4 linked regions of the Astyanax mexicanus genome follow. The protein of the gene in region 2 interacts with the protein of the main gene of each other region in a pairwise test. Links are inferred from orthologs where the notes say so. Each region holds a gene or a part of one and is shown on either strand. Other genes may lie near its edges. The genes, in order: map2k1, protein BANP, tox4b and lmo3.

The links.
Region 1: the proteins of protein BANP (region 2) and map2k1 interact in binary tests that used the Homo sapiens proteins (3 or more experiments, as listed by UniProt). The two-hybrid records come from large-scale screens. The link is inferred for Astyanax mexicanus from reciprocal best matches to the Homo sapiens genes BANP and MAP2K1.
Region 3: the proteins of protein BANP (region 2) and tox4b interact in binary tests that used the Homo sapiens proteins (3 or more experiments, as listed by UniProt). The two-hybrid records come from large-scale screens. The link is inferred for Astyanax mexicanus from reciprocal best matches to the Homo sapiens genes BANP and TOX4.
Region 4: the proteins of protein BANP (region 2) and lmo3 interact in binary tests that used the Homo sapiens proteins (3 or more experiments, as listed by UniProt). The link is inferred for Astyanax mexicanus from reciprocal best matches to the Homo sapiens genes BANP and LMO3.

The regions. Positions count from the first base shown.
Region 1 is NC_064416.1:23,842,450-23,850,547, reverse strand, and holds the start of map2k1 (dual specificity mitogen-activated protein kinase kinase 1), read right to left. Parts: upstream 3,180-8,098; 5' UTR 2,878-3,179; coding exon 2,795-2,877; intron 1-2,794. UniProt on the Homo sapiens protein: Dual specificity protein kinase which acts as an essential component of the MAP kinase signal transduction pathway.
Region 2 is NC_064409.1:62,589,522-62,597,210, forward strand, and holds the start of protein BANP, read right to left. Parts: upstream 3,160-7,689; 5' UTR 2,952-3,159; intron 668-2,951; 5' UTR 662-667; coding exon 586-661; intron 176-585; coding exon 90-175; intron 1-89. Other genes in the region: pdcd2l (programmed cell death protein 2-like), read right to left, coding at 3,674-3,804, 4,047-4,204, 4,343-4,456, 5,631-6,068, 6,152-6,315. UniProt on the Homo sapiens protein: Controls V(D)J recombination during T-cell development by repressing T-cell receptor (TCR) beta enhancer function. Binds to scaffold/matrix attachment region beta (S/MARbeta), an ATC-rich DNA sequence located upstream of the TCR beta enhancer.
Region 3 is NC_064432.1:21,417,230-21,424,284, reverse strand, and holds the start of tox4b (TOX high mobility group box family member 4b), read left to right. Parts: upstream 1-3,999; 5' UTR 4,000-4,603; coding exon 4,604-4,708; intron 4,709-5,878; coding exon 5,879-5,983; intron 5,984-7,018; coding exon 7,019-7,055. UniProt on the Homo sapiens protein: Transcription factor that modulates cell fate reprogramming from the somatic state to the pluripotent and neuronal fate. In liver, controls the expression of hormone-regulated gluconeogenic genes such as G6PC1 and PCK1.
Region 4 is NC_064409.1:10,575,851-10,583,213, reverse strand, and holds the start of lmo3 (LIM domain only protein 3), read right to left. Parts: upstream 3,078-7,363; 5' UTR 2,587-3,077; coding exon 2,484-2,586; intron 1-2,483.

The sequences.
Region 1 (8,098 bases), on a different chromosome or scaffold from region 2:
AGCTCTGCAGACCAATCACAGCTGCTGCTGTTCATGTCGAGCAACTCGCAGTTTCATTTCTGGGGAGCTGTATGTCAAACTAAGGCATGAGGATCACAGCTACTATAAATTGTCCCTAAGTCACCTACACCATTCAGAGTCCCTACTGTTTCATATAAAGATGCTAATACTTCACTTAAAGCCAGCAGAAAGTGTGTTGTCTCTTTGGGGATTTTGAACTTAGACAGTGTTCCTCAGGTACAGAGAAGAGCAAACCCTTTGGCCCAATCCCTTTTCTAATTGGACCCCTTCCACTGAGTTACAAGGGGAAGAGCTCTTTAAGAACCTGATATATCATATAAATAAATAAAGCTTTTTTACTATTAGACTTATAGCTCTGTAGGCAACCCAAGCAGTCTGTTGTTATAGTAGAAGAGCAGTTCAGCACCGTCAGTGCTGCTGGAAGTTTTTATCACTGTGTAAAAACAGTCCTTCTTAACGGCCCACAAGACACTCTTGGTTGGATATTTGTGGAATATTGACTATTTTCAGCCCAGCAGCACAACTGTGCCTTATCCACTCATACCAGCACCATGTCAGTGTCACTACAGTGCTAAGAATGACCCACCACCCAAATGACCACTGCTTTGTGGTGGTCCTGTGGGACTGGGTCCTGACCACTGAAGAAGAGTGTGGAAAAGGATAAAGTATATAATCTACCTCTCTGAATGGCTCATATGATGACGTCTTTATAACTGAATTGTGCAAAACTTTCACTAAATATATTTTGAGTTGCCAAAAGAACTGGCATAACCTGATTGTGTAACCTGTAACCACTAGTCTACAATCTGTGAACATACTGTACTGCAGTAGGAGAAAATAAAGTCAGCTGAAACATTATGTCCTCCTACACAATCATTTCCAACACTTTGAAAAGAGGCTTGAATCAATGCAGTGCCATGTGTAAAATAGAACGCCTCTGTACCTCTTCCCGCACCTCTGAATCAGTAATGGTCTCTCAAGGCCAAAGCATAAGAGTGAAAGAGAAGTGTCTGGGCCCCGGAGCGCCGGTGAAACAAGAGGCAATGACACGGACCACTGAGTCCAGGCCGCCAGCGCTGTGATTGGCTCTTGGCTCAGAGAGAGAGAGAGAGGAACAGGACCACAGGCCTGCCACATGAAGCTGCAGACAGACACGGCAGCCCTCAGCATCTCCAGACAGCCTCTAAACAAAGAGGCCAGCACCGGGCACTGGGAGCAGGGCTTTGTTTGTTAATGGTGATAGCTGCTGCTGCTGTAAATGATCCACCGTGATTGCTTAACAACGTGAAATGAGACGATTGCACTCAAGCTTCAAGAAGTGGAGCATGCTGTCAAAACCGATCAGCCTCTCCATTTGTTCCCGGAGTTCTTAAGACTTGGGTTCCTAAGGTTCTGGACATCCTCTGCCCTCATATTACCTAATGATAGATTGAGCCGTGCTTTCCTATCACTACACACAGTCACGCTCACATGGAAACAACTAGAAACAAAATCTGTTTACCTAACTTATGGCTGTGAGGGGGCGAGAAAGACTGGACAGGTTATTTGATGGAGGAATCATTACTGTGTGTTGGCCACTCTGGCCCACTGTGATAAGGGCTCTCTGTGTGGAGAGCAAACCTCCCCCTTCTGTTTTTAGGGATGTCATCTGATTCTTAGTAAAATTATGCAACAACAACAACTTATTCCCAATCAATTTGCTCTTAAGTCTATTTGGACATGAATGAGCACTGTGTGCATTGGTTCAACACTGTATATATTATCTGTATATATAACCTTATTTACAGTTTTATTCTTCGTCTTACTATTATTTCACTCCTAGGGTTTCACCATATATCATATCCAACAGAACGGAAGCACTTGTTTATTTGTTGTTTGTTTCTCATCCCTTTCTCCTATTCACTCCTAGTTTTATTTGCCAGACAGTCACCAAGTTGTGTGTATTCTTTCTTTTTATCCTTATACATTATGTACTTTCACAATATAGAGTATATTGAGGATATCCTTAGTGGTTGTAAAACGCATTTGAGAAAATTTAAAATCATGTTTTTTTTAAGATTCTGCAATTACTGATTTTTAGTCATTGTCTGCAATTATGAGTATCACAATAACTACTGTGTATTTTGAAAGTGTCTGTAAATACTGATGCAATTATGTGTGGCTGTCATTGTAAACACATGAACAAAGAAAGAAATAGTTCCTATTTGTGTGCCAACAAGCATTTCTGATACTCTAACTCTGAGCTAACCTGAACTTTCATTAATTCACTTTAAAATACCCATTGCTTATGTTGTCTCGTTTGTTTACTGCAGTTTGATGCACCATTTTTAAATTGTCATTTTTAAAGTGCCAGGTACACAGTCTAAAACAGTACTGCATTGGCAGGCCTTTTAGTAAAAGAATATAACAATGAAAGTGTTTTCATAACACTGTCCTAGTGTCCTTAAAGCCTAGCTGTCTAGCTTGCAAGGCTTTTAAATATACACTGTATTTACACTTTCTCAGAGGAAATAAGCATTATTATAAAACCTTTTATAACTTTTTTAAAAAGAGAAAAACAATATGAGCCTATGATCAAAACAGAAGAGTATGAAACAGTATTGTTCCTTTTCCACTACACAGAATACCACTGTATTGTATAACACAGCCTGATGATCAGCCAGTGTCATCCCCAGTAATTATAGTATTAAACCATGTATCTTACTGAAGGAGCATCATTTAGTTGGTTTTCCTGTTAGGGTTAAGCTTCTGAACCAGACCAGACCATACTCACTCCGAGGCACCGGTTCCGTTAACGGCGTTCCCATCAGGAATTGGGTTGAGCTGGATCGGTTCTGGCTTCCTTCGTTTCTGCATTACGACTCTTGATGTCTTGCAGTTTAGCAATCAGAAATAAATCAAGGGAAGAAGGCTGATCCGCAGAAATACCCGCGTGCTGCTGTAGAGAGAGCGGTCTGATGCATAGGGTATATATACAGCTAATCACACCCAGTGGCTGTCTGAGAAAAATGCACACAAACACGACAACACGAGATAAATAAAGTAGACTATTAAAACAGGCACGCGCTCTCCTCGGCGACTAGCACAGCACTGCTCAGCCCCCTGTACAGACAGAAACACAATATACACCAATACCGCACTGATATGGGTGGATATATGACTGTGGAGATGGGCTGGTTGCGTCACGAAAATATTTACATCTGTCTTCCGGAGAGCGTGGCTTAATGCTGGGCAATGTCTCCACCTGCTGGAAGAAAAAACTAGCACAAATATCTCCTTTTTAACTTTTGGGTTTTTTTTAACCCTTTTAGACCTAGTGATAAAAAAATAAAAGAATGCTATGCACTCAAAAACAGGATTCAATTAAAAATAACAATACACTAAATAATAAACTAATATATAATATGTATCAAACATAATATTTGTATTTTATATCGTTTATATATATATATATATATATATATATCGTTTATATATATATATATATATATATATATATATATATATATATATATATATATTCAAATGTGTGTAGATATTGTGGATGTGTGTATATTTCTAAACTGTAAAAAATTGCAGCAACTGTGTTTTCTCTGCCACGTTAGCTGGGATGCTACCCTGCTTTACTTCAGTTGGCAGAATTTTAGTATTCCAATGCAGTCTGCTGTTTGATTGGCTAATAAATGTATATCCTGAAGATTAATAGGATAATAGAATACACAAGAAAAAAGAAAGCACACCATGTCCATTGCAATTGATGCAGTGTCTGAAAGGATTAATATTCTTTACAGTTTCAAGTTAATACAAAGAAACCACAATAGAATACAGCATGAAAATGTGCATTAGAGAGAAAAGAAAGAAAGAAAGAAAGAAAGAAAAAAGAAAGAAAGAAAGAATCCTAAAGATAAAGAACTAAAAAAACTTTAAAAAGCTCCTCAGAAAATATTACAGTTTTTAGACATTTCTTATTCTTAGTAGTTCTAAAGGATTTCAATAGTAATGTAAAGTCCAGTAAAAAATATACAATTACAGGAGACTTTATTGTGATTTGCATCACATGTATAATTTATGTATAAATAAAAAATCATTTTGGGCAATTTTCCCCAAAAACATCCTGCACATTTTAATCATTTTAGACCTAAATGATGTTCCAGTGATGAAAAAATAAGAAGAATGTTGTATAAAGAAGCAATCTTCATACACCTTATGGCTGATTAACTATGATGTACAGTTTCAGTCAAAAATTTAAACACAATTCTTCTCATTTAATGTGTTTTCTTATTTTTTTTTTTTACATTTTAAATCTCATATTAAAGAAATTAAAGCTATACAGTAACTTAAAACACAAAAACATGGAAAACAAACCAGAGAATGTTCTGTACTTTAGATTCTGCTGTTTTTGTCTCACACTGTGGTCCAGCTCAACTAAATCTCCCATCTCAGTTGGTTTAGATCAGAGGATTGTGGAGGCCAAACACTTTTTTCTTAACTGTGTAACTTTATTTGTGTCCCTTAATTATTGTCCTGCATTTAATTCTAATCTACAATGTAGAAAAAAACAAAAACAACAAAAAAAAAACAGAAATAAAGCAAAACTTTGAGAGAGAAGGCGTATCTAAACTTTTGACTGGTACTATAAACAGAAAGTTATGTAAATTAGATTTCTTTGTGAACCATTCCTTTAATGTTTGGGACAAATTACACAAATAATTATATTTAACTATCTATACCAGGTCACACCTATCAGCTTACAGAGTTTGTATCTATCATTTCAGAAGTATTTTAAAGAAGGCATTTACTGTATAATAAATATCTCTTCATTGATGCTAATGAGAATTCCATCTCTACATACTTAAGTATGTGTTAATAGGGTGTTTAATGGCCTGCTGTTCTACTGGTGCTTCTCTCACATGTTTCTGGTGGCATAGTGTGTAAGGCTGGGGACTCTGAACCAGTAGGTTGTGGGTTCGATTCCTGCTTAAAGCAGCAAAAGGCAGCTGCTTGTGTGACAATCCTGTGATGGCATCAGTGGTGAGTTAAATGTACTGATGTCTATGGCAGTCACATACACAAACATGACTCCTACCGACGGGACCCACTAAGTAGTTGGATCACCTGTGCGATGGTTTCATACAACTTCTGCGGGTGTCATGTGGAACGGCATTTCTTATAAATGCCAGCTCAAAGTCATTAATCACTGAAAAACTCTGTTCACATATGATGGTAGGCCTAAAAGAGATGCTAGCTGTCTGAAATGATTCACATAAAGCAACACTATATCACTGCAGTGTCAGTACTGGTGCAAGTTTAATATATCAGTTAAAAGTTGCTGGACAGTCCTACAGAGGAGAAAGGTTTACTCAGCAGATTGTGAGAACCCCCCACCGCATGGTGCCACTGGGAGCAGAGTTGGATAATTGCTGGATTTGCATAGACAGACACAAGCACTATCCCACTGAGATGCATCTGATCTTATACAAATGAGATGCTGTCAGATTAATGATGCATCATGTGAGCAAACACATGTTGTTTATAGACTAATATGAGCCTGTGTTTTATGAAAGGTAGCTCTTGTTCTTGTCTGAGTGAGCGATGTTTTAAAGGAAGTTCAGGATTGGATCAGTGTTTCTGCATTGGCGGTGTTGTGCAGGCAGGTTTGTGCAGCAGATGTGCATAATGAAGCTTTTTTTATGGATGTGCAAGGCCCTGGCACGCACGTTGGCAGTATGGCACAGCATTTGCTTGCATTTATTCATCACATGTTAAGTGGAAGAATAGATAATAGGCCTTTTTACTCATTGTTTCCTCAAAGCAGCCCAACAATGCTTTATCCTCATTTATCTGTATTTGGACACTGACCAATCAAATGCCATGGTTATGTTGTTCAATTGAAAGGTCAATTAAGGTATCAGGATCTGCATTTGCAGATAGACTAATAGGCTTAATAACGTTAAAAGCACTGACTGGTGAAGTGAATACAATTATATGATTATCTGCTTACAGTGGCACCTTACAAAAGATGAACCATATGTCATGGGACAGGAACAAATGCTGTGTTCCATGTGTTTTGTCATGTTCAGTAGGAACTAAAGAATGCTGCACGGATGTATGGAATATACTGTATGTATTCAGCCTCCTGCATTGAATGTGGATGTGATGGATGTTAGCCTTAGTTGTTCACTTGGAAAATTATAGCCAGACACTGCGGGTCACAATCATTACCACCACTGCGCTGTCCACTGTGGGTGAGAATGCCTCTTATGACATATTCCTGGTACACACATCGTTATCAGAGTTCCCTCAGATGTGAATATATAATTCACATCACCTTGCCATGAGCATGCTGGCGGGGTTTAACTTTACTTCTCAGATAACACCTCACAACTTATACAGGTGTAGGTGTTCCCAAGCTGCTAAATGAGGTAACACATTGTGATCAATTTACATACTGGTATGCCATGATATTTGGCATATCAGTTTATATTAGACCTTTTCTAAGAGTGGACTATCTGGTAATAATGTTATGGCATAACGACACACAAGAAAACATATTTTTTATCATGTAAAAAAAAAAATCATGTCTAAATCAGGTTCACACACTGCCTCAAATTAATGATGTTTAATGTTCCTTATGGCTCTTGGTTTTATATGTATACTAAATGATTTTATCCAAAAAATACTTTTTATGATTAAAATTGCTGTCACTGGCTTACTAAGAACTACTGTCTCCCCCTGAGTATAGACCTGCAGGCCACTAGAGAGTGTTTCATAGCCCACTGGTTGTCCTCTGCCCACAGGTTGAGAAACCCTGTATTAGATAGCAAGTGAACCATCAGTTCTTGAAATTGAAGTATCTCAGCAACCTTGACAAGATGGAAATTATGATGGCCAGATGGATGGGCAAGAGTATTTCCACAACAGTACAGACAAGTGCTTATAGGAAGGTCATTCAATGAACTGGTAACAGAGTCTTGATTGCATAAGACTGATGTGATCTATGGAGGTCTAACCTTGCAGCTGGATTTAAACTGGATTTAAATGATCTCCTGCTAATATCTGGGTACCAGATACCACAGGACATCCTCATAGGCCTTGTGGAGTCCTTTACTGGTCATAGGTGTTCTGGTGCCAGAAGCATGACCTACACAGTATTAGACAGGTGGTGTTAAAGTTATGCTTGATCAGTGTATGTAAATAAATAATAACCCCCTTATTTGAGAGGTGGTTTACAGATTACTGGGTGATTTCTACTGTAGCATAGAGGAAAAAAATCAATACAGAAGCATCACTAGGCCTACTTTTTATTCTGATTTTCCCTTTAAGTGTCAATCATTGCATGCAAAAAAGATTTTCATAGTCAATAAGTGCAGAAACAATGTGGCTTAAGAAGGATTATGCTTCTCCTATACACACTTTGACACACAGGTGCTAGTGCAGATACTAATTGATTCTGATGCATAAATATTTATAAAATAGAGATGCAGATACATTTTTGAAAATGTGTTTGTTGATAATGATTGATATCATTTAGACATGATCATACATCCCTAGGTGGTTGAGATTCAATTATATATTTATTGTACTGTTGAATGCAAAGAACCTTTATGTAACGCTACATAGCTACATTTTATTGGTTTTAGCACAGCATTTGATATTGCATCAGTGATCTCTGTGGGTTGAATTTTGACTTGATATCTCTTCTTACAAGGCTAGTGTATCAGCTTTGTGTAGTTCGAAAACAGGGAATATAAAGCCCCTACCTGTATTGCCCATGGTGGGTAAATGACTGTAATACATTCTGAGGTACGTTTACAGAGGTCATTCTTTCAATACTATAGCTAATATTGTTTTATATACATATACTATTTTAGTGATAGTCTGGGTAGTGATATTTACTTGAAAATCAGATATCTGTGTCCACTAGTTCTCAAAGTGCACCCAAATGCACCGCTCCTTTTCACTGATACATGTGTGTTTGCACATCTGTGTCAGCAATGCATCAAAAAAAAAAGCCAGGAGTTACCTCTGTTGCACAGGATGAGTACTTTTGGCAGTGTGGGAGGTGTGCTAACTACTG
Region 2 (7,689 bases):
CCTTCTTGTTTAAGTTTTCATTCATCAATTAATCACAGAACACAGTAATGGTGTAGTAATAAGCAGTGAAACTCAAGTGCTGTTCTCACCTTTAGAGTTGCATCTTGATTACTACTTTCCATCCTCGCTCGTTTTCGCTCAGGTTTGTCAGCCTCTTCATGGTTTTCCAACACATCTAATCCAATACACATACAGCAATGTTAAACAACACATAGTAAACAGCTGCCACAGTGTTGAAAAACTATAAAACACAGAATACTAAAAAATACTAAAGTTTAGGGCATTTGCTATTATGTCAAAAAGTAAGTATATATACAGTACATGCACTAGGAGAAGGGAAAATTCATAAGAGCAGTGAGGGAGGTTTTTAGTGGCTAAATATAGAGGCACCAGGCCTTATAAACAGGCCTCATAAAACTTTTTTAAAGAAAAGGGCAAAGGAGAATATGGCTGCAGGGTCAAAGGAAAATAAACAGCCTAAAAACAAAGTTTAAAGACACATGTATTAAGGACTTGTAAACCGATGTAATCCTACAGACTATCTTGAACATTTAAATACCAGAGGCAGTTAAACAATTCTCTTACCTGCATCATGTTCCTCATGATTTAGATCTGCCACAGCAATCTGGACTATCTCCACCAGATCCTGCTCGGACATCATTCACACCTAAAAAAGCAAAGAAATTTGGTTTGTGTGACTATTTACAGTTAAGGAACAACTGATGAACTGTCTGGTGTTTGCTTTTATAAACTCATTTGAAGCACATACATGTTTTACATGCAGCAACACACCATTGGTCAGATTGTTAATACACAATCTGAATTGAAATGTTACATTTAGGCTACTTAAAGATGTCAAACATATTTATTTCAAATCAGTAAAACATGCCACAATATTTCCACTGCACAATACAAAAGTAAGAAATAAAACCCCTAAAATACATATATTTCACATTTATTTTATCTGGCTTCTAACAAAATTAGAATTGTATTTAAATGTTTGGTTTTCATTTGTTTTTCTTATTACCTCTGAACAAAATATGACGTTTGTTATGTTCCAGGAAAAAATATAGTGTAATCTTTGCATATTGTGACACCTTCTCTTGACAACAGCACTTCCTCACATATATGGGGCAAAGTTTCTAATATATTAGCCTTCTTTAATTTGGTGGTTTTCCTTTTTTAAAGACGCTTACTACTCAAGAGGTTAGTTACCCATCCCTGTATTTCTGTGTAGTTTAGCTCACTGTGGAGAGCTAGTTTTGCTTTCTGAGGTTTGTTAATTGGGATAAACCTTAAAATATTTTTTTCAGTGGTATTATCTATTTTTACTCTTTAAGTTTTATATTTTATTTATTTAACTTTAGCTATCTTTTCTTACCAATGTTGCCAGCTTTAAATGAAACTTTATAATTCAACAAATCCATTTTTTACCCTCTTTGTTAAGTGCCCTGAACCACAGTGCTTTGGTGGGGAAAGGACAATGTAACTGGCTGCAAATGACTGTTAAATGCAACAGTCCTTGTGAGAATTCTCTGACCTTCGCATAGGTTCAAATAAAATTGTAAAAGTGATGCAAGCTTTTTTGTAGTTATAAATCTTTTGAAATGCAAAGCAAATATTTTGCGAATGTGAATCTTTTTTTAATCTTTTTGCATCTTCATAAACAGCAGTCCAAATCTGTTTTTAAAAAATATCGTAACAATTTTGAAAGGGGATTCTACACCCTTTTATTAATAAAACTGATTTGTTGAATAAGGTTTACTAGGAGAGGGGGGCAGGGGGTGCTCCAGGGCTGAGATGCACCAATTTTGCTTAAGTTCCTATCTAAGTTTCTGTTTGAAGTGCTTTTACAATGTCTTTAGTTATTTTGTGAATGTGAATAACGTTAGATTTATATGGATTTTTTTTGTTTCTACATAAGCATGCTTTATGAAATTCGTATTAGGTCACATGATTCACACCAGAATCAGATAACGTGTATGTAGAAAAAAAACTTTTATTTGAGTAGAAAATCATTAAAACTAAATAATAAAATGTGAATTAATAGCAATACAGTTAATTAGCAAGATTAGCTAGCTGTGGACTGATGAATGGGCAGAGGAGGATAGACTATGGGAAAGATGGGTGTGAAGAAGGTGTGGATTACAATCAGCTGATACAAACACTAGTTTATTAATTACCTCCATTTTATTAAATCGTTACTTATTGTTTACTTATGTTAAATGCAAATGCTGTTATGGCAGAATTAAGCATTTCGTCTATATAAGTTACAGTTAACCAAGAAGGTCACACACCAACGTTAGCTAGGCAAATGATAGCTTAACATTTGTGGTGGTTTAACAAATAAAAATCCAAAAAATAAAAATCCTGTCCATGACTTCGCTCCAGCTGCTTAGACAACTCTAAAAAAATAATAAAATCCCGGGCTGGATTTTTACTTCCTGGACCTGGATTTCTCCCTATGCTAAACTAAATGCTAAGCTAACTAACTAGCTAGCCAGTTAGCCACGGTCATTCAGTACAAATTGTTCTGTTGTAAGTATTTAATTTGGTCAGCGACAGCAGCGTATTTTAACCCATAAAAGCCGTGTTTATGCTCTAAAATTGGTTAGTTAGTTAAGTAGGTTAGTCCCCGCCGGTAGCTACAGTTACTAGGTCTGGGGCTACACTCCGCTCTCTGCCCGCGAAGATAAACACAGCTAACGTTAGGTAGCTTTAGCCAGCTCCTGCTAACTTGCTCCAATGTTCAACAATATTGAAAGACTCAGAGAGAGGAAACGGCTCCAGGCCCGGAGCCGCAGTCCTACTAGCCCTCTCTGCTGAAACATGAATGAGGCGCGAAAGAAAACAATAAAAAATGAAAATGAAAAACGCGTGAATTAAGCGCCCGGCGCCGCCTTGCCCGCAGCACTGTGCGCGCGGCGGGGCTTCAGAGCGGGTTATATTACCGTGAGAAGGATGAATTCTCGTGTTGTTTGTAGGGATTCCGATAATGGCGTCCTTCCTCGCGAGAGATGAAGTCTGCTCATGAACTCGGGTCTCGTCTCTGAGCTCAACTGCGCTCCCGTGAAGAACCAGGAGGAGCCGGGCACTGCAGCACCGCATGCAGGCCTCATAACTACCCCCCTCCATACAGGGCCAATTTCTCACACAGGCCAGGGACAAAGGTGTCGAAATTATTCACATTCAATACTTCGATATATGCGTGGAATGTATGGCTGATATAAAACAAAACGTTTTTAACTCACTTCCGCAGCTAGAAATAGAGAAAATTATCTCCTCATCAAGCAGCACAACCTGCACACTCGAAACAGTTCCCACAAAATTACTAAAACCCGTACTACCAGACATAATTAAACCGCTGTTAATGATAATAAATTCATTGCTTACCCTGGAGCATGTACCCAAAACAAGAAAATCGAGGAATCTGTAAAAAATGTAAAAGCCTCTTGACTTAACATCTGCCCACAGTCCAATCACTGCTTATCCCATGGATTTTGTCAAAACAATTCAGAAATATGTCCTCATCAAAAGAGTAAGTCAAATAGCCTGAATAAAGCAGTGTTGGTTGACTTCCGCATGATACTGCATGCATACTAAATCCTACATTAAGTTATAATAAAAAAAAAAGAAATATGATATTTTGGTATGCTCTTTATTATACATCATGTCATTTGAACAGCTTTTGATCAGGGTCAGCTTGTACTAAAAGGAATTCCTCAACAGGTGTGTTCGATCCAGAAGTCCAGCAGCTCTCTCTGCAGGTGTAGACCATCACTGTCCCAAACTCCAAAACGAGCTCTGAAGAAGTACAAAGGAGGAAAACACCAGAATCAATACAGAAATTAATAATTTATGATTTGTATTATCGCAGTGTCTAAAGGCCACAAAAAATTATATAAACTATACACATATCATCTACTTCTGTTTTAAAGAAAACAAGTAAATGTAGCAAAGCTCTCATAATTTTTGACACAGGATACAACCAGCATGGTCTCTGTATTTAACATATACTGAAAAAACAAGAGCTAAGTCAGACAAACCTGAACTTAAATCTGTACTACGAAGCAAACTGACGAGTGCAGGCATGAGCTGAAATTCAAAAACTCTAGGACTGCCACACTGTGCACAGGGTGGCTCCATCTGATGAATATTTGAAGGACGTTCACATATAAACAAAGGTGAGCCTCTCCAACTGTATCTGCAACATATTATAACAGAGCATATATTAATAAAACATCAAAGTATTTACATTAAAATCAGCTCATACAGATATAAATCTTGTAGTTAGTTATTGTTTACTAGGGACTTGCTACTGTTTCCTTTGCAATCCACTCACCGAAGAACTTGTTCTGGACAGAGAGATATTCTTTTCATGAAATTGGAGAAGAAGGCATCTCCGTGTTTGGGTTCTGCCTTCTCATACTTCTCCCCTCTTCCTTCTCCTTCACAACTGAATAAAAATTCAAAATACGAGGAAAATTTATTTCAAGAGAAAAAAATATATATTTGAATATTTATTATTTGAAAAAATGTAAAGAATTGAAAGTATAACACAAAAGCAGAATCTGACAATAAAACTGAAATACTTTGTGCTTAATTATTTATTATTTTAAAGCAACCAATTTAACATGCACTATTGTCCTGTCCTGTGTTTTTTTTTAAGGATAATGTATTTACACACAAAGTATCATGTCATAGATTTCCTTCACATTAACCTAGTAAAATGTAAAAATGCATTCAGGTAAAGATCCATCATTGATCCTCAGTTAAGAATGCAAGTGTTAACGCAACTAAGACACATTTAAAAGAGGTTCAAATTCGATTGCGCAAACCCTTCTGGAGGTGATAAATAAATCCTTTTCTCCAAGACACAACCAAAACAAAAACAAAACTCCCCATGCAGTACGTTATTGTTGAGTTAATCAGCCGAAACTGGTGCCTTCTCCAAGTTCGGATTAATGCAAAAATGCACAAAAAAGCGAAAAACTATTAGTGGTACATTTTAGGCTAGCAACCGTCTTTAGCATAGCACAGAAAGAGGCTGAAGCAATGTTACTATGTAATGAGTGGTTTTTCATATTCTATCCCACACAGCAATCAAATTTCAGTCTGACTATCCATTGCTAGTAGTTTATACATAAAGTATGATATATATTCATTTGTACCATTCACTTTGTTTACATGACAGTTGTAATTCATCTGTTAAATTAAATACAATTAAATAGCTACACTTTACTGTGCCGCAGCCTGCTTGACTTGTGATTTAGCTCCATCTGTTTGAAATTATATCTACACTTGAATTGGCAAAAGTCAGCCGCGGCGGTAACTTTAAAACATATGTTTGTTTGTTTTGTTTTTTTAACAACAGAACATTTCTAATTAGCTCCTCATTTTGGTTTCATTGGCAAGGATCACGCTACAGGTGAATTGTGAACAGGCGGGGCAAAAACAACCAGTCAGCACTGCTGTGTTTATTTATAAATTAGCATGCACTTCTGAAATCACTAGAATTCATTATAGTTTAAAACTGTCAACTTTTAAAATGTAGTGGAAATAAGATCAAATTAGTTGTTTTTCAGGGGTGCCTTGTTAGCTTTCGCAAGCCATTCAAAAAATGTCCTCACCTTTCAAGCTCTCCAACAGCAACTCCCTCCCTCTCCTGATATTCCTTCAAAAGTTTGTTAGCATGTTCCACATTGTTCTGGCCCACTAAGTCTGTCTCCTCCGCCACACTGATGTAAAATGACTGAAAAGTGGGTACTGCAGTAGGAGCTACGGCACATTCCCTGTCCCCTGATCCATTTAAACAGAGGCCCTCAAGTCCAATACTGTCGACTGGTCCAGCTGTTTGTGTGTCCGGCTGTCTCTCTGTCACTGTCTGAGCTGTGTCTAGATTAGTGTGTGGACAGATCTCAGCTTCACTGTCCTCAGCTTCCATCCCCCAGTCATCGGCCTCATCACACCAGTCTGTTGCGAACACCGGGGCTTGTTTCACCTGCTGATTATCTTTATTGATGTCCTTCATTTCAGACTCCAAGCACTGCGAACGCAGAACTTTCCAGCTAGACACAAGAAGAAGCCACCAGAATAAATATTGGGCAACAGCGTAAACTGTGTCTTAATTAATATGAAAATGATAATTTACCTTTCTGGCTTGCCATAACACTGTGGATTAGTGCAAGCAAACACATTAATGGTGCGGTGATATGGAGACGCAGCAAGAGGGCAGTAGATCTGCACGACATGAGTGAGGATCCCATCACACAGAGCACACCGGTAATATGTAGCAGAAATACCAGGAATCAGGTCCTGTAATAAACATACATCACATGCAAGATAATCAATGTAAACCTATATTGTCAGTGCTACTTTTAATACCCTGATTTTGTACTGAAACTCTCTATATATATATAATATATTGGGGAGAATCTCTGTCATGGAAAATAAAATGCCAAACTGCCATCTTTTTTTAAATGCATTCTGTGGTGAAGACTGCCGAGAAGATCATCAGGACTCCACTGCCCTCCTTGCAGAGCATCTACCACCACAGAGTCCACAGGAGAGCTGCATCCATCCTCAAAGACTCCACCCATCCCCAGCATGGACTGTTCACACTTCTGCCCTCAGGCCGGAGGTACAGAAGTGTAAAATGCAAGACCACCAGGTTAAAGAACAGTTTCTTCCCCACGGCCATCAGACTCTTGAACACACCTAAGGAATGACCCTGCCTTCAGACTCTAAACACACCTCAGGTATAACCCTGCGATCAGACTCTTGAACACAACTCAGGAATAACCCTTCACTTTACTTCAACATGTTTACATTGCAGCCGTCACTTTACTGTTAATCTTTTTTTAATATATATAGTTAATGTCCATAACTGCATTATTTCGCACTTGCACTTTTTTTTATACATTTCTTTGCTTAAGTAACTTTTATTTTTTTATGTCTTTGACAATTAGTTTAATATTTATAACCTTATTGTATTTTTTTGCACTTTTTCTATCTTCTATTTGGCATTCTTGGCGAAGAGCAAAGAAAGAATTTCATTGTACACTGAAACCCGTTTCTGTACTGTACATATGACAATAAACTCTTTGAATCTTGAATCTCTTGAATCTTGAATACTATTTACTTCAAGCTGTACCCATTGGGGTGCTTGTCTAGTCTCTTTAAATAAGTACTGCCAACAGAATAGGACTTTTTGGAGACATGTATTGTTATAAAAGTGTAAAAGTCCTCCAGTATTGTTTAATACTTTTAGGATGAGTTGAAAAGTTGGGGATGAAGTCAGATAGGGTGGTAATCATCCAACATCCTGCATACTGACCATTCTGACACATAATGTAATCAAATTCTCACTGCAGTGTTCCAAAATAAGTGTAATCCTAATCATAGTGAAATGACTTGTCTGAATAGCAGTCAGTTTCTTAAACAGAATTAGCATAAACTAATTTTAATATCTTTGATTTCAAAAGTAACAAGGATTAAGCAATTGTACCAATTTGTTGTTTATATGGTGTATGTCCTGCTATTTACCTGAACCTGTAAACTAATGCTACTGCATGCTATCCAGTTAGGTTAGTATAGCTGCATGTGTGCTTGTTTGACTATTAAAACATATTAACTGTACACAAAGGTTAAACATCACTAGCAAAGATATTTAAATGTTATAAAATATCT
Region 3 (7,055 bases), on a different chromosome or scaffold from region 2:
GACATGATTTAAAGGCAGCACAAGTTGTTAAACTAACTATGAACCCCTGGTTTGTAATCAGTGAATGACAATCAGGCATTAATTACTAAATAACACTGTTGGCCATGCTCTCACCCCTTACCACTCGTAATGTTATGTTTGTCAGTACAGGCATCTGCTAGATGATTTATCAGAGCTGGGTATCCAGCATCTTCCTCTGAGTGCAGAAAAGAGGTGGAGTCTGACTCCACATGTATTGGAGGACGCATACGTTAATTTTCATGCTCCCAGTGATTTTTTTAAAAAGCTACTGAAACTTTTAAAAAATATCCAAAATACAGAAGACTCTGATGCTCTACAGTAAAAAAAAGACCTCAGGACTGGATCTGTTGCCTTTTGCTTTCACACAGAAGCGTGGTGTAGGTATGTAGGCTAATCCAGCATTACACCAGTAAAGGTGATCTGGTAAATGAGACTTTTTTTGAGCGGCCTGTTTTAATAACTAATGTCCTTATCCACTTGTTCTCACCACATTTTCCCTTTTAATAATCCACGATGGCCCTACTTTATTACTTTTATTAGTGAAGTTTATTGTATATGCTGGTACAGTGAGCTATTATATAAACTACGACATTACAGTGAAGTTTACTGTAATCAGACACATGGAGTTAGAATCAAACCATTAGTAATGTGAATTGAGATGTGATTCATTCAAATCTGGATCAGTGTCAACAAAATTCTGAATTCTGAACTAAATATTAAGGTGTGTAGAAGAGTGGAAGGAATTTTAGATTCTTCAAAATAGCACCTCTTGCTCACCTCAGCTTTGCACATCTTTATAATGTACACACCTAGAATTCAGGCTTTCAGTTAACAGCAGTGCTGAACTCGTCAAGAGTTATTTACTTGAATTTCTTGTCTCTTAATGTGTTTGAGAGCATCAGTTGTAAAGTTGTGAAGAGGTAGAGTTGGTATACAGTAAATAGCCCTATTTAAATAATGTTCTAATCCATATTCATTCAGATATATCAACTGTTTTAATGCTTTGAAAAGTCTCATAGTAGCTGAACATTAGCTGTTTTTATTTAGAATAGTAAGTACACAATCCTATAAAACCATCCGGTAGTCCTGCAGACTGCTTCTAAAAACATTAGTGAAAGAATGCTTCCCAAGCAGCTCCATCCAAACCTCACATCACCAAACACAGCAATGCAGGCCTTTACTTTTGGTGATATAGTGTAGAAGACTAGATTACTGAACTTCTCAGTAGGCAGCATTTATCATGTTTCAGACATATGCTCTACAGACCCCTGTCACTGGGAATGATCAGCAGATCTGTTCTCCATGCTCCTGGCCTGCAGGACTGAACCACTGTGTCATAAATGGAGGGGTGTGGTGGTGGTGATTATTATAACACTAGAGACTAATCCTGTCTGTTTTATTCTAATTATAAAAAAAGTTCTAAACACACTCTAGTGTGTGTAACACACTGTGAAGAAAGGCCAGCCACTGTTTTTACTTTTAGAAACACAAAAGCATAAACAGCACTGGTTTCATTTTCCCCCTCTTACTTCAAAATTATCCTGAATCCCCAAATCCAGATCCATTACTCAGGCCTCGATTGAGTCCTCTGTAATGCAGGGGCACTGTAACAGTAGGAGGTTCGAGTTGACTCACTGAGTCGATTCTAATGAATGAATCATTGCAGAGTTAAATGGCCGTGTTGAGTGATGCATTGATTTGTAATAGAAATAGTAACTAAACATTAGATTACAGGTACTTTTTAGTGTTAATCTAAAATAAATTATATATAATCAGGGTTCATACACTTTTTAACCAATAAATTTCCATTATTTTTTCATGACTTTTTCATGTCTTCATGGCAAATTTTCATGACCATGCGACTTTCTATTTTTATAATAAAATGTGCCTCACATCTTGAGCGCTCCATTGTGCTAAATTACTAATTTAACTCTGTGCTGTTGTGTTTGTTAGCTCAAAATAGATTTTCAAAATAGATTGTAGACCAAAGTTCCATGACTTTTTCAAAACTTTCTGGGTATTTTTATTTTTCCAAAACTTATCCAGGTTTGGAAATTGCTATTTTCAAATAGCATGAAAGGTTTTTCATGACCGTACGATCCCTGACAATTTAATATTTATGTGCCCAGAAATTTAAGTTATTGTAATTTGTATTTATTAAATTGGTGTGAATTTATTATTGTTCCCCAAAAATGTTACTCTAAACTTCCTATTTGGTATTAATGTAAGCCAACATAGCATTCACATAGATGTAGATATAGCATAAATATTGAGTCTAAAATTACTTTAAATTATTTAATTTTCATAATAACCCCTTATAATACATTTATATGAATTGTCAGTAACACTTTACAATAAGGGTACATTAATTCACAGTACTTACAACAGAAATGTCTCAACTATTTTTTTTAATTGACACTAGTAAAGACATCATTAACCAATACGTATCAGTTTATTATTTTGAATGTTTTACAACATTTTCCAGCAATAAAATTAAGTAATGTTTAGTAATATCTTAATTACTTTCAATTAGTAATTAGTGAAAACATTACCTCACCATTTAGCCAAGTTTATTGCTGTCTTAAGTGGTATTTGTGACTTATTGTAATGTGTTACCAAATTTTCTGTGATTAAAAAACATGGTTGCTTTTATTTTTTATGTTTCTGCTTTTGTTTCCTTTTGCAATGTTCAGTGTTGTGGAATGATTATATTTTTTATTGAAAAGGAAAAAATGTTTAACATTTTTTATACTGCCTTTAGGGTTTCTGGAAAATGTGTAATTTTTCCATACATATATTTTTTTTATATTTCAATCAGTTGATACACATATTCTGTATTCATTATTGTATACATTTTATTTTTTTTGCATGATTCCTTCCTCTATTTATATTTAAAGTGGTCAATTAGGTTAGGTGTGAACACCACTGGGTATTACTAGCTACATCTTTTTGTTGTAGAATTACGCTGTGCAGTGACAATAAAGGAATAGGTCGTAACAGCAAGGTGGCTTAGTGGTTACAAGGTATGCGTTCCAGTGCTGGGGCCCTGCCTTCAAGTCCACATCTGGGTGGAGTTTCTATGTTTAACTCGTCTCCGTGTGGGTTTACTCCCACAGTCCAAAAATATGGAGTGTATGTGTATGTATATGGGTGAAAGTATGTATGTGTGTATGGCCAGATATGGATTGGCACTCTATGCTGGGTCATCAGGTGGACGGTGGTTTCTGGTTGAGAGTATGCTATGCATGATTGGCTGCTGCCTTTCACTGGTCTGTGTTGATGAGTGTGTAGAATATAATTGTAAGCAACCTTGGGTTCCTAGAAAGACAAACAAGACCTATATAAGTGTAATTGTAAGTAGCTTACAGTGAATTTGATTGTGGGAAGTATATACATATATCATTCCAACACCATATTAGTTTATATGATCCGTCGCACCTGCACACGTCACGCCCATGCTCTAGCAAGAACATAGCAGATGTATGTAGACTAGTGTGAAGATGATTCGTGCAGAGACTCAAGAGAGCTCCAGACAAACTCCAGTCCAATTAAGCTTCTTTAATATATTTACATTCTACTAAAATACATTCATTTTCAGTGAACATATATGCAGCTGAAACAGGGTCATTGCATATTAAATTTAATAACATTAACATTTTAATAAAACATTATAGTCCTTATGGCTTTTAGAAAACTGTGTTTTGGGAAGGGAGTAGTGCACTATAGGACTTTTTGCAGCTTTCCCCTTACATTACTTTTACGTTTATAATACAAGTAAATTTAAAAACTTACTTTAAAAATGAAAAGCTTGAGTTGATACTTCAGCTTCTACAGAAGTATTTTATTAAACCATGGTATCTATACTTCTACCTACAGAGTAATAAATGGAGACACTTTTTACACCTTTGTTAGTGAATCGATTCGACTGATTCATTCAAGTAGATTGAAAGAATCGGAGAATCGGCTCAAATAAATGAATCATTCAGAAGTCAGTCATCGTCAGTACAGAGCAGTGAAAGGAACAGACACGTTCCTGATGTGACGGACAGCCAGTGCTCTTTATTTATTTGATATATAACATTTGTGTATTATGAGGTGTAGTCCGCTGGGTGTTAAGTGTAGAAATAAACGCGGGATTTGGTAGAAAGCGGGAGTGTTGGCCGTGTGTAGCCCCGGGAATCGGTCATTCATAGCGGGGAGCTAAGCGACACACCGCCGAGGCTCTGCACGTTAGCAGCGGGCTAGTGGAGTTAGCCAGCCGGCCGGCCGGGTCTAGGCTCCTCTTCCGCGGATATATAGATATAAAGGCCCGGATTGTGTTTAAAATCTTACAGAGTTCCGCTACATTTCCTCTTACAGCGCTTCCCAACACACGGGTAGGCAGCTCTCCAGCCCTGCTGTAGCCTGGCAGCGCCGGGCTGGCATGCTAGCCCGGGCTGCGGGCTGAGGAAGCCCAGGGTGGGAGAGCTATTTTTGGGGCAGGAGTATCCGAATACAGCGGGGGTGAATAATCGAGCTCCTGCTAGAATAATCGACTCGACTCTGTTCATTAAACTCAGTGATATTCGGGTTCTCACTCAACATGGATCTGAATTTTTACTCGGACTTGACAGACGGAGCCGGTCAGCCCGGAGACCCAGAGTTTCTGGACCCGCAGGCCTTTAACGGATTCGATTCGGTTCAGAAGGTGAACAATTCGGTTTCTAAGCTCTCAAATGACCAGCAATGATCGAATACTTGTACAAATGTTTTTATTTCCATAACCTTCATTTTGAGAGCTCCTGTGTTTGTTTATTTGTCTGGATCAACAACCACGACCACACTATTTTATTTTGGTACTATTTATTAATTGTGTTGAAGTTCTAGTCGACTACACTGTCTAATATTTTTAGAGCTACATTGTTTGTGCAGTAAAGCTGCAAATAATTAGTTTTGTAAACTAATTCAACGATTATTGAGCTGTATTAATTGTGTGATGGGTTGTAGGGATACAAGTAAGTGGAGTAATCTGTCGATTATTCTTGTAGTAGGGCTTTGGCTAATGTTTCATTAATTCTCTTTTAGAGCTATATTGATTGTGTAGTTGCGCTGCAACTCTTGATTATGTTGTTAGTCGATTCATTTGTTATTAATTATTATTTTTAGGGCTATGTTGATTGTGTAGTAAGGCTGACACTAATTATTTTGTTATTCAAATAATATGTAGATTATTCTTTTTAGAGCTATCTTGACTGTGATGTATGGCTGCAACTAATGTTTTTTTAGTCAACTAATTTGTTAATTATTATTTTTTTTTACTATTAAATTTAAGTAAAACCTGAGAATCGGCCCAAATTGGTTCTGGAATCAGTCATTCTGTTTTAAGAGCTATAATGTTTGTGTAGTGTATTGATTGTGTGGTGGGTATTTGGTTCTGGAATCAGTCATTCTTTCTGTTTTTGGAGCTATAATGTTTGTTTAGTGTATTGATTTTGTGGTGGGTAATAGGGCTACAAGTACTGATCATTTTGTTAGTCAAAATATTCTTTTAGAATGGCTGCAAGTAATGATTATATTGTTAGTCGATAATCTGTCAATTATTTTTTAGAGCTATATTGATTGTGTATTAGGGCTGCAATTAATGATTATTTTGTTAGTCGATTAATCTGTCGATTTTATTTTGTTTATTGGTTTGTTTTTAAAGCAATATTGAATGTTTAGTAGGGCTGCAACTGACATTTATCTTGTAAGTCTATTTTTCTCAAGACAAACTAGTAATCATTTTGGTAGCTCACCAAATATATGATGAATGTAGGCGGTATTACACTTTTTACTAAATTATTTCTTTAATGTTTCTAACTTTGTGTTGTGTGCTCAGTTCCCAGGAGGAAATGACAACTACTTGGCCATCAGTGGAGAGGGCCATCCTTTCCTATCCTCCTCCGAGGTTGCTCTCCCATCATCCTACTCCCTTCAGATCCAGGTGCTTCTATGTCTTCTTGTTTGTTTTTGTTCTTTTTTAGTTTTATGTGAAGAAAGGCAGAGGTTTAAAGGGGAATCTCGCTGATTTTTGTAGTACCAATATATGAGTTGTTGAAATGTGAGCAGGCTTATTCAGAGCAGGAAGTTATTATAAAATTGTAGATCATTACAGGATACAGTCAGGGTGATGGAACAAAGTGTTTGCCCTGACTTCTATGCAAATATAACCAATTTATGTGCTATCCAAAGCCATCAGTAATCCTACACGTGTCTTGAGTTTTGGGGATGGGTATGTTGTTGATGGGAAAACCAGAACAAACCCACTTTTTTTGTAAGCATTCTTACAGTTAATTAAACAAAACTTAGATGAAGAACAGTGACCACTGTGTGCACGATGGGGCTTGTTTTGCATTAGATATATTAAAGGTGCTTTATACAATTTCAGTTCAATACACTAATACACTGACTAACTTTTTGTTCTGTTTGCTTGATAAAGCTCTGGCCCTTGTGCTCTGGCCCTTGTGCTCTGGCCCTTGTGCTCTGGCCCTTGTGCTCTGGCCCTTGTGCTCTGGCCCTTGTGCTCTGGCCCTTGTGCTCTGGCCCTTGTGCTCTGGCCCAGCAGCAGTAGTAATAGCAATAGTTTGCTAATGCTAACTTGGATAAAGCTAGTTACATGCCATGATATTGCACTCTAATGTTATACCTTGGTATTTAGTTGTACAACATTTATGAAGTGTGTTATGGTTGTGGAAAAAAAAATTCACTATCACAGTGTGATTTGGATTTAAGCATAATTCAAAATTATGAGTAATTAAAATGCCAGACTAGCTTGTTGGACAAGGCAACTGTAGATCCCTACATTGATAACTTAGCTTATACATACTTACAGTTCTCTCGTCAATAAATGGATATTTGCTGAACAAAATTGTCTTGCTTGTTTTTTTACTCTGTTTTATATGCTGTGTTTGTTTGGTCGGCTAACACAGTGTTGCCACCTTGAGTTTAAGCTCATCCTGAATCATCTTTTTTTCTGCAGACCTTCCACACCCCCAGCCTGGGCGATGAGGAGTTTG
Region 4 (7,363 bases), about 52 Mb from region 2:
AAAACTTAACAGTCTGTCAGTGTTGTACAACACCATGTATGTGGTGCTGTATTTTCATTATTCAGTACTTTCATTAGTACAATACATAACACCAATACTGAGTAATACATCAAAATAGAACATAATTTAAACATGTTAATTGGTACATTATGAATAGTACAATTCAGAATGGTACATCAAAACAGTACATCACCATTTGTAGTACAATACGTAGCAGATTAAGATGGCACATCACCATTTAAAGTAAAATCATTAGTACAACATGGCCACTACTATAATGAATAGTATGTCAGTGCAGTAAAAGTAATACATATTTGCTAGAAAAATACACCACCAATACGTGAATTAGTGCAATATAAACATATATGTGTGTGTGTGTGTGTATATTTAGACACTAAATGTCACTAGCACACTACATACACACTGAGCTTCAGCCTTTTCTCTTGTGTCCTACTAAAGCACCAGCATGTGTTTTGAAGGTTTTTAGGTTTTGAGCAAGCCTTAACAATTAGACGTAAAAAAGTAACAATTAGATAGTTTGCCTTACATGACATTCCATGACATCCCGTGATGTCACTATTCTATTACGCATTTACACATATCGATGCCAATGTAAAACCGATAAATTGTGCAGTCCTAAGTTGAACAATATAATATGTGTACTTTAATATTGTATTGATTTTGGATGCAGACTCTATTATTTTGGTGCGCTGCCTTCAGAAAGCCAGTCTGTGTGTCTTTGTGTGGATTAATTTCTTTAAGTATTATTTATTATTTTTTCTCGGTTTTCCCAGACAAACACACCACAAATCAGTCTAAAGAGCACTGTCCTAACCTACAACTGTCTTTACATATATATAACTATTATTTATTTTTTTATGCCTGTATTTCAGCACGAACAGTTCACCCAGACGAGATCTCTTACTGTCTGTGCTCTTCCCCAGTCTTTCCAATTATGTCCTACTGAAACACCAGCATGTGTTGTGAATGTTTTTAGGGGTTTGTTTAAGCATGTCTTGGGCAAAAAGCAACGAATATATGTTTGCCTTACATGACATTCAACGCAACATGTCCTGAGATGTGACTATTTTATTATGAATCTGCCAATTGCGATGCCAATGCAAAAACAATGCCTTGAACAGTACATGGAACAGTATAATATGTGTACTTTACTTTAGTATTGGTTTTAGATGCAGAACCTGTTCTTTTAGTGCTCTGCATTACAGATGGCCAGTCTGGGAGTTTTTTCTCAAACTAGTTTTCCCAGACATCACAACACAAACCAGTCTAAGGAGCACTGTCCTAACCTGCAACTGTTCGTACATATATCTAACTATTATTATTTTTTTTATGCCTGTATTTAAGCACAAACTCTTCACCTAGACGAGATCCCTGAAGCACCAGCATGTGTTGTGAAGGTTCTTATGGGTTTGTTTGAGCATGTCTGTTGTTTGGGCAAAAAGTAAGAAATAGATGTTTGCCTTACATGACATTACATTTCTCGCGATGTCAATGCAAAAACGATATATTGTGCAGTCCTGCGGTATAATCTTTGTACTGTACTGTAGTATTGGTTTCTGATGCAGACCCTATTCTTTTAGTGCTCTGCCTCCAGATGGCCAGTCTGGGAGTTTGTGTGTGGACTGATTTCTCAAATTATTATCATTTCTTTTCTGGGATTTCCCAGAAAACACAACACCAAAAACCAATATAAAACACACTGTCCTATCTTGTGACTGTCCTTACATGTATCTATCTATTATTATTATTATCTTTATGCCTTTATGTCTATATTTTAGCACTAACAGTTCACACAGATGAGGTCCCTCACTGTCTGTGCTCATCCCCAATTTTTCCTCTCATGCTCTGCTTGAAGCACCGCGTGCGTTTTTTGAACGGTTTTAAGGGTTCGAGCGAGACTTGGGTAAAAAGTACCAATTTGCCCCCCTTTCCTCCTCATCCCCGTCCCTCCTCCGTTCAAGCGCGTCACAGCTGCGCGAGCCGGAGATGCTGACATTTCACCCGCTTATCACTTTAATTACGGTTGCCATGGCAGCGCGGTGCTTGGAAAAGGCCAATAAGATCTGCTACAGAGGAGGCAATTTTCGAAGCGGCTCGCGACGCGAACGGAGCCCGACCGTTAAACTCAGGGAGCGTTAAACGCGTTTCAAATCAGCTCGCGAGCGAAAACGAGAAACGAAAACGAGAAACGTTAAGCGTTAAGACACACTAAAAAACGTAAACACACACAAACACAGGAGGAAAATGCGATTCGGAAGAGTGTGAGACGTATAATTACAGCACGTTTTTGGTGAAAAGAAAACACACGACACACAAGACAAAATCTCACGATAAATAAAAAGAGGAAAATCAATGGAGAAAGGAAACGTACGGAGACGCCAACGAAACTATAACGTTACAGCACAGAAACGGCTGTCTCGCGGATATAACGGTCACAACCGGTAAGAGAACAATAAATCTACCTGAAAAAGGAGAGAGTGAAGCTCTTACCGAAACTTTTCTCCCTTTTCTGCATTGGTCGACCCGCTTCAGCTCGTCCAAAAACACCGCCACCACACACACCATGCAACAAGAGGAGGTGCGAGCCCAGGCTTCCCCCCCGGTCTTCGTAAAGTGAGCAGCCGCGTGCGCTCTCTCTCTCTCTCTTTCTCTCTCTCTCTCTCTCTCTCACTCACGCACACTCTCTCTCTTACTCACACACACTCTCTCTCTCTCCCTCTCTCTCTCTCTGAGGGCGGTTCGCTTTTGTTAGAAGTAGCTTTAGCTAACAAATCCAGCGTCGCCTCACTTCCCTCAGAGAAGAAAGAGGGAGAAACGAGGAAAACACCAATCAACGGAGCCCAGCCGGACCTCCGCCGCTGCTGCTGAGGGTAGAGCCACGGAGAAGAGAGAAGGAGAGACAGAACGAGAGAAATAGATGGAGAGAAAGAGGGAGAGATAGACTCGCGCCACACGCTGATATAGCTAGCCCTAACTAACTAACACCGCGCGTCTCGTCACGAGCAGAGCTCGACTATGAAATTAGATCCAGCAGCAGCAGAAGCGCAGCAGCCGCGCGCGGAGTGACGGCGAGCAAAATGACAGCGGACCACAAAGGCGTACACGCTCAGGCAAACCCCTCCGCGGCGCCCTCACACTATAATCCTGCCGCCGCTTCACTCACACACAAAACAAACAGGGGGACCGAGCGGAGCAGCAGCCGCTGCAGCACCACCACCAGAAGCAGCAGCTCGTGTGTTTCGTGTGTTTATGCTGGTTTATAGTGAGGAGATGATGATGATAATCATGATGATAATGATTGTCTTGATGACTTTTTACTCGTTTTTATTTTTTGAACGACAACAGTATAGGCTACAAAGCGTTTGGTTGAAATAAATAACGTGGGATACTGATAATAATAAAAAGTAACAACAAAACCATCACATACTAAAACCGATCTACGTCCATACACACGTAATTACGAAAACATTACATTATTTTATATATGCCTTTATAAAAGAAAATTTCAGCTTTCAGCTATTTATCTACTCCAAAATAGTGCTGATGTTTGTAACAGATAAAATATTACAGATACAAACATTTTCTAAATGCCGGTGTTTTATGCATCTGGCATCTAGCTGCTGTTTTGTTGTCCAATAAAAGAAATAGTCATTTAAAAAGTCCCTTAATAAAGACATAAAAAAAGAAAATGTTAAAGAAAAGTGGAAAAGTAAACACATTAACAACTCTGTTTAAGCACATATAATCTATATAAAAACACAAGAAACTTCTAGAAAATAATGCTATAACTCTTTTTTAAAAACAGACATACTGACATGCGTTAAAACATGCTGAAAACGTTGCAAAATGTATGTATGTATGTATGTATAAATGTAACTTAAACCTAAGTCTGAAAGGTTCTGCCTTTTGTTTTTGTTCCTAATAGTTCCTATATAAGATACTACTAATAAAACCTAATGAAGCCTATTAGCTCTACAAGCACATTCACAAGAAGGTGTTAAAAATGTGACTTTTCTTAGCTAAAACTAAAGCCTAAAGTGAACCAAAGTCTTGTCCTCCGCCGACCACCCCCCGCTGCCCCCCACTCACCTTCTTGACCAAGTTGAGCAGAAGGTTCACTCCGGGCTCGATCTCACTCCCCCCAACTCTCTGATCTTTCCGAGCAGAAAAACAACACTGATAAAGTTCACGAGACCCACATGGCGCCGCGGCGGCCGGACGACTGCGAATCTTCAGGTGTAAAACAGCGAGGTCCACATGGATGGAGGTACAACCCGCGACTCGGACACGCAGCTACAGGTGTTCTTCTCGCGCGAGCCCTCATAGACACACACACGCGCACACAAGCTGGACTAGACACGGAGCAGCGCACCGGTGCACGCGCAGCCGCGAGTCGCGAGCTTCTTTTACGCACTGCGTTACTGAGTGACTACTGTAAACCAGCAAAAAGAGAGACGTTTTACACGGCGAGGAAAAGGTCGTTCACTTATAACTGATAGTCGGAGTCGCGTGCGTGTGTGCGTGCGTGCGTGTGAGCTTGCGTGAGTGAGGGAGCGCGCGCGCGTGCTAGCGAGCGAGCGTGCGTCCGTCTGTCTCTACACCACTCTCGCGCGCGCTCTCTCTTCGCTCTCTGGCGCGCGTGCGGTGGATGTCGAGACGCGCGCATGTATATAAACGGCTCTGCTAGTCAGTCTACTCTGCCTAAACAGGTTTTTGTTTACTATCTTGCTATCTATCTCTTCACCTTTCTCGCTTTTTACTCTCTCTTTCAGTCTGCAACTAATTCAAGCTCTGTAAAAAGTGTGCACGTGCCATCCAGGACCACAACACACTTTCTAAATAAAAGGTGCTTTAACAGGCTTTTTTTTCATCAAAGTGCAAATGTACCCTTAAAGGTACAGCATGATCCTTTAAGCCCAACAATGTCCCCTAAAACTAGGGTAAAACAATTGTGTAAATATAGTACTGAAGAGTATTTTTTCTGAGAGTGCACTCTGATAGAGACTATAATATGAAGTTTTATATAGGCTACATATAGTCAGAATGGTACCTGAGTCATGTTAAATGTCAAAGGCCTTCTTTTTTAACGACATTCCAAAAATTGTATCAACTTTGCAGGCCAAGGTCCGACTACTAACTTACTAACTGCCTGGACAGAATAGAACAATTAGTTTTCTTGCACTCTAAGAGGTAATTTGTCCATTTTACGTATATTGTTTCAGGAATTTTAATTTTAACACATTCCTAAGACAGTGTCTAATTTGCAACACATAGATTATTTGTAATGTTTATTTACCTTGCTTCTCAATTCTAATTTAATTAGCCTACAATTTGCTCTCTTGTTACCCTGTAGTTACCCTATTTTTGTTACCCTGTAGTTACCCTATTTTATGCAGCAATGACACAATGACACATTTTTGGGTTTATTGTTTGCTTGTAAACTTACTCACTGTGAAACAGTGCTGACATTCTGTAATTTTTGGCACATCTCTTTTTTTTGAGTGTTCTCAGTGTGCTTACACTTCATGCTACTGCAGATATAATTGATTTCCACTGGTAAACATGTGCATGCTTGTGTACGTGTCTCTGAAGCTCAAACTCGGTGTTTACCCCCCTCAGTGAGTGCCTATTGATGTCCATATTAGGGCTTTGTATTGGTAAGAACCTGGTGATAGGTATGGCGGAATGGTGTTGTGATTCAATATTTTGTGATATATCGCAATACTGTAAGCAAGACGATATACTGAGATTTTTTTATTATCAAAATTTAGATAAAACTGCCAATAGTATAAAATCTGAGAAAATGAAAAGCTTATGTTTCAATTAGTCAGAAGAGTGAAATCTGAGGGGACATCATAATATGAACCACTGTCTGCCAGCGATGCTTTAATCAGACACTGTGGTTTTGAGAATTAATACAGTAATCCAAAACATTACAATATTGTGATACTTCGCTATTAAACAACGCTTTTGTTCACACCTAGTCCATAATTACTCCACACAAACTGTAAAAACACTCCTATAGTGTAGCCTAACAGGTAATAGCTTGGATCTCAGAAAGTTTGCTTTTGTTTTCTTTTATTTCCCATCAGTCTGCGGGTGAGGTGACGAGGGTGGTGAAGAGATGGGGTCAGAGTTAGCGAGTCCACCGGTAGTCCTGGCAGGCGGCCTCTTGCCAATCACTGTGACTAAAGCGCAGCACTAATGAGATGGGTCATAAAACGCTCCTCGCCACCATTATGAGTGATGAGATGCATTAAAGCTGACAGGGTATTACCTGGCTGTAATTAGGTTTTGTCATGGATTGAATTATTTCAAAGCGGGCTATCTGCGTAATCATGCAATTTGCGGGGGTGAGAGACGCAAAGGGAGAGAGAGAGAGTGAGAGAGAGAGAGAGAGAGAGATGGAGAGCGCGAGACTGGCTCTTCTCTCTTTTTCGCACCCCTCCCCCCAACGACCACTTCATCTCGCGCATTATCACGTCAATTATTCAGCACAGATATGTGAGTTATGTGGAGAGATGAGCTGGGCAGCAGTACGGTACACACACGTGTGTATGGGTATATGTGTGTATATATAGGAAAGAGAGAGATAGAGAGAGGAAATCTAAAGGTGCATAAAGTTATAACATGCAAACCCGCATGCAACTTGCAAGTGCAGGCACACATTCACACACACGCATGTGCACACACAATCTCTCACTCTCTACAGCGCAAGGTGATAGAAACATCTCAGTACAACCAACCAGGCTATGGCTCTTGTGCACTAAGCTTCCAATCAAAAATGCAAGCAATGCCCTGTGACCACGTTACTGCACCTTCTGTCACACAAAACTCATCCACAACATCCAGCCCCCACCACCACCATTACAATTTTAGATTTTAGGCTACTCATCAGACTTCCATGGTGGCAAAGTTAGCAAACACACAAACTTTGTCCAAACACTTGCACAAGTCTTACATATAAATCATAACAGGACACAATGCTCCACCCCCTTTTTCCCTTTTTTTGCACAGGCAACTCTAGACTGAGTGTATAAAGAGGGGAAAATCTTCAGGATACTGTACCGAGCGAAACAAGCAGCAGCCAAGCCGGTACTCTTCAGGTCTAAGCCTGGACTCGATCCCCTCTTCTTTCTCCTCCTCTTCCTTCTTCTTCTTCACAAACAGAAAGCAGTCCGTTTCCTTTACTTATTTTTCTTATTTCCTTTCTCCTTTCTGTCTTTTCTCCTCCACGCAAAAACGACCGACTTCCTGTTTTCTTCCCTTTTGTCCTCTCCTGTTCTGTCCTCTCTTCTTTTCCTCTCCTCTCCTCTCTTCCCCTGTCCTCTCCTCTCCTCTC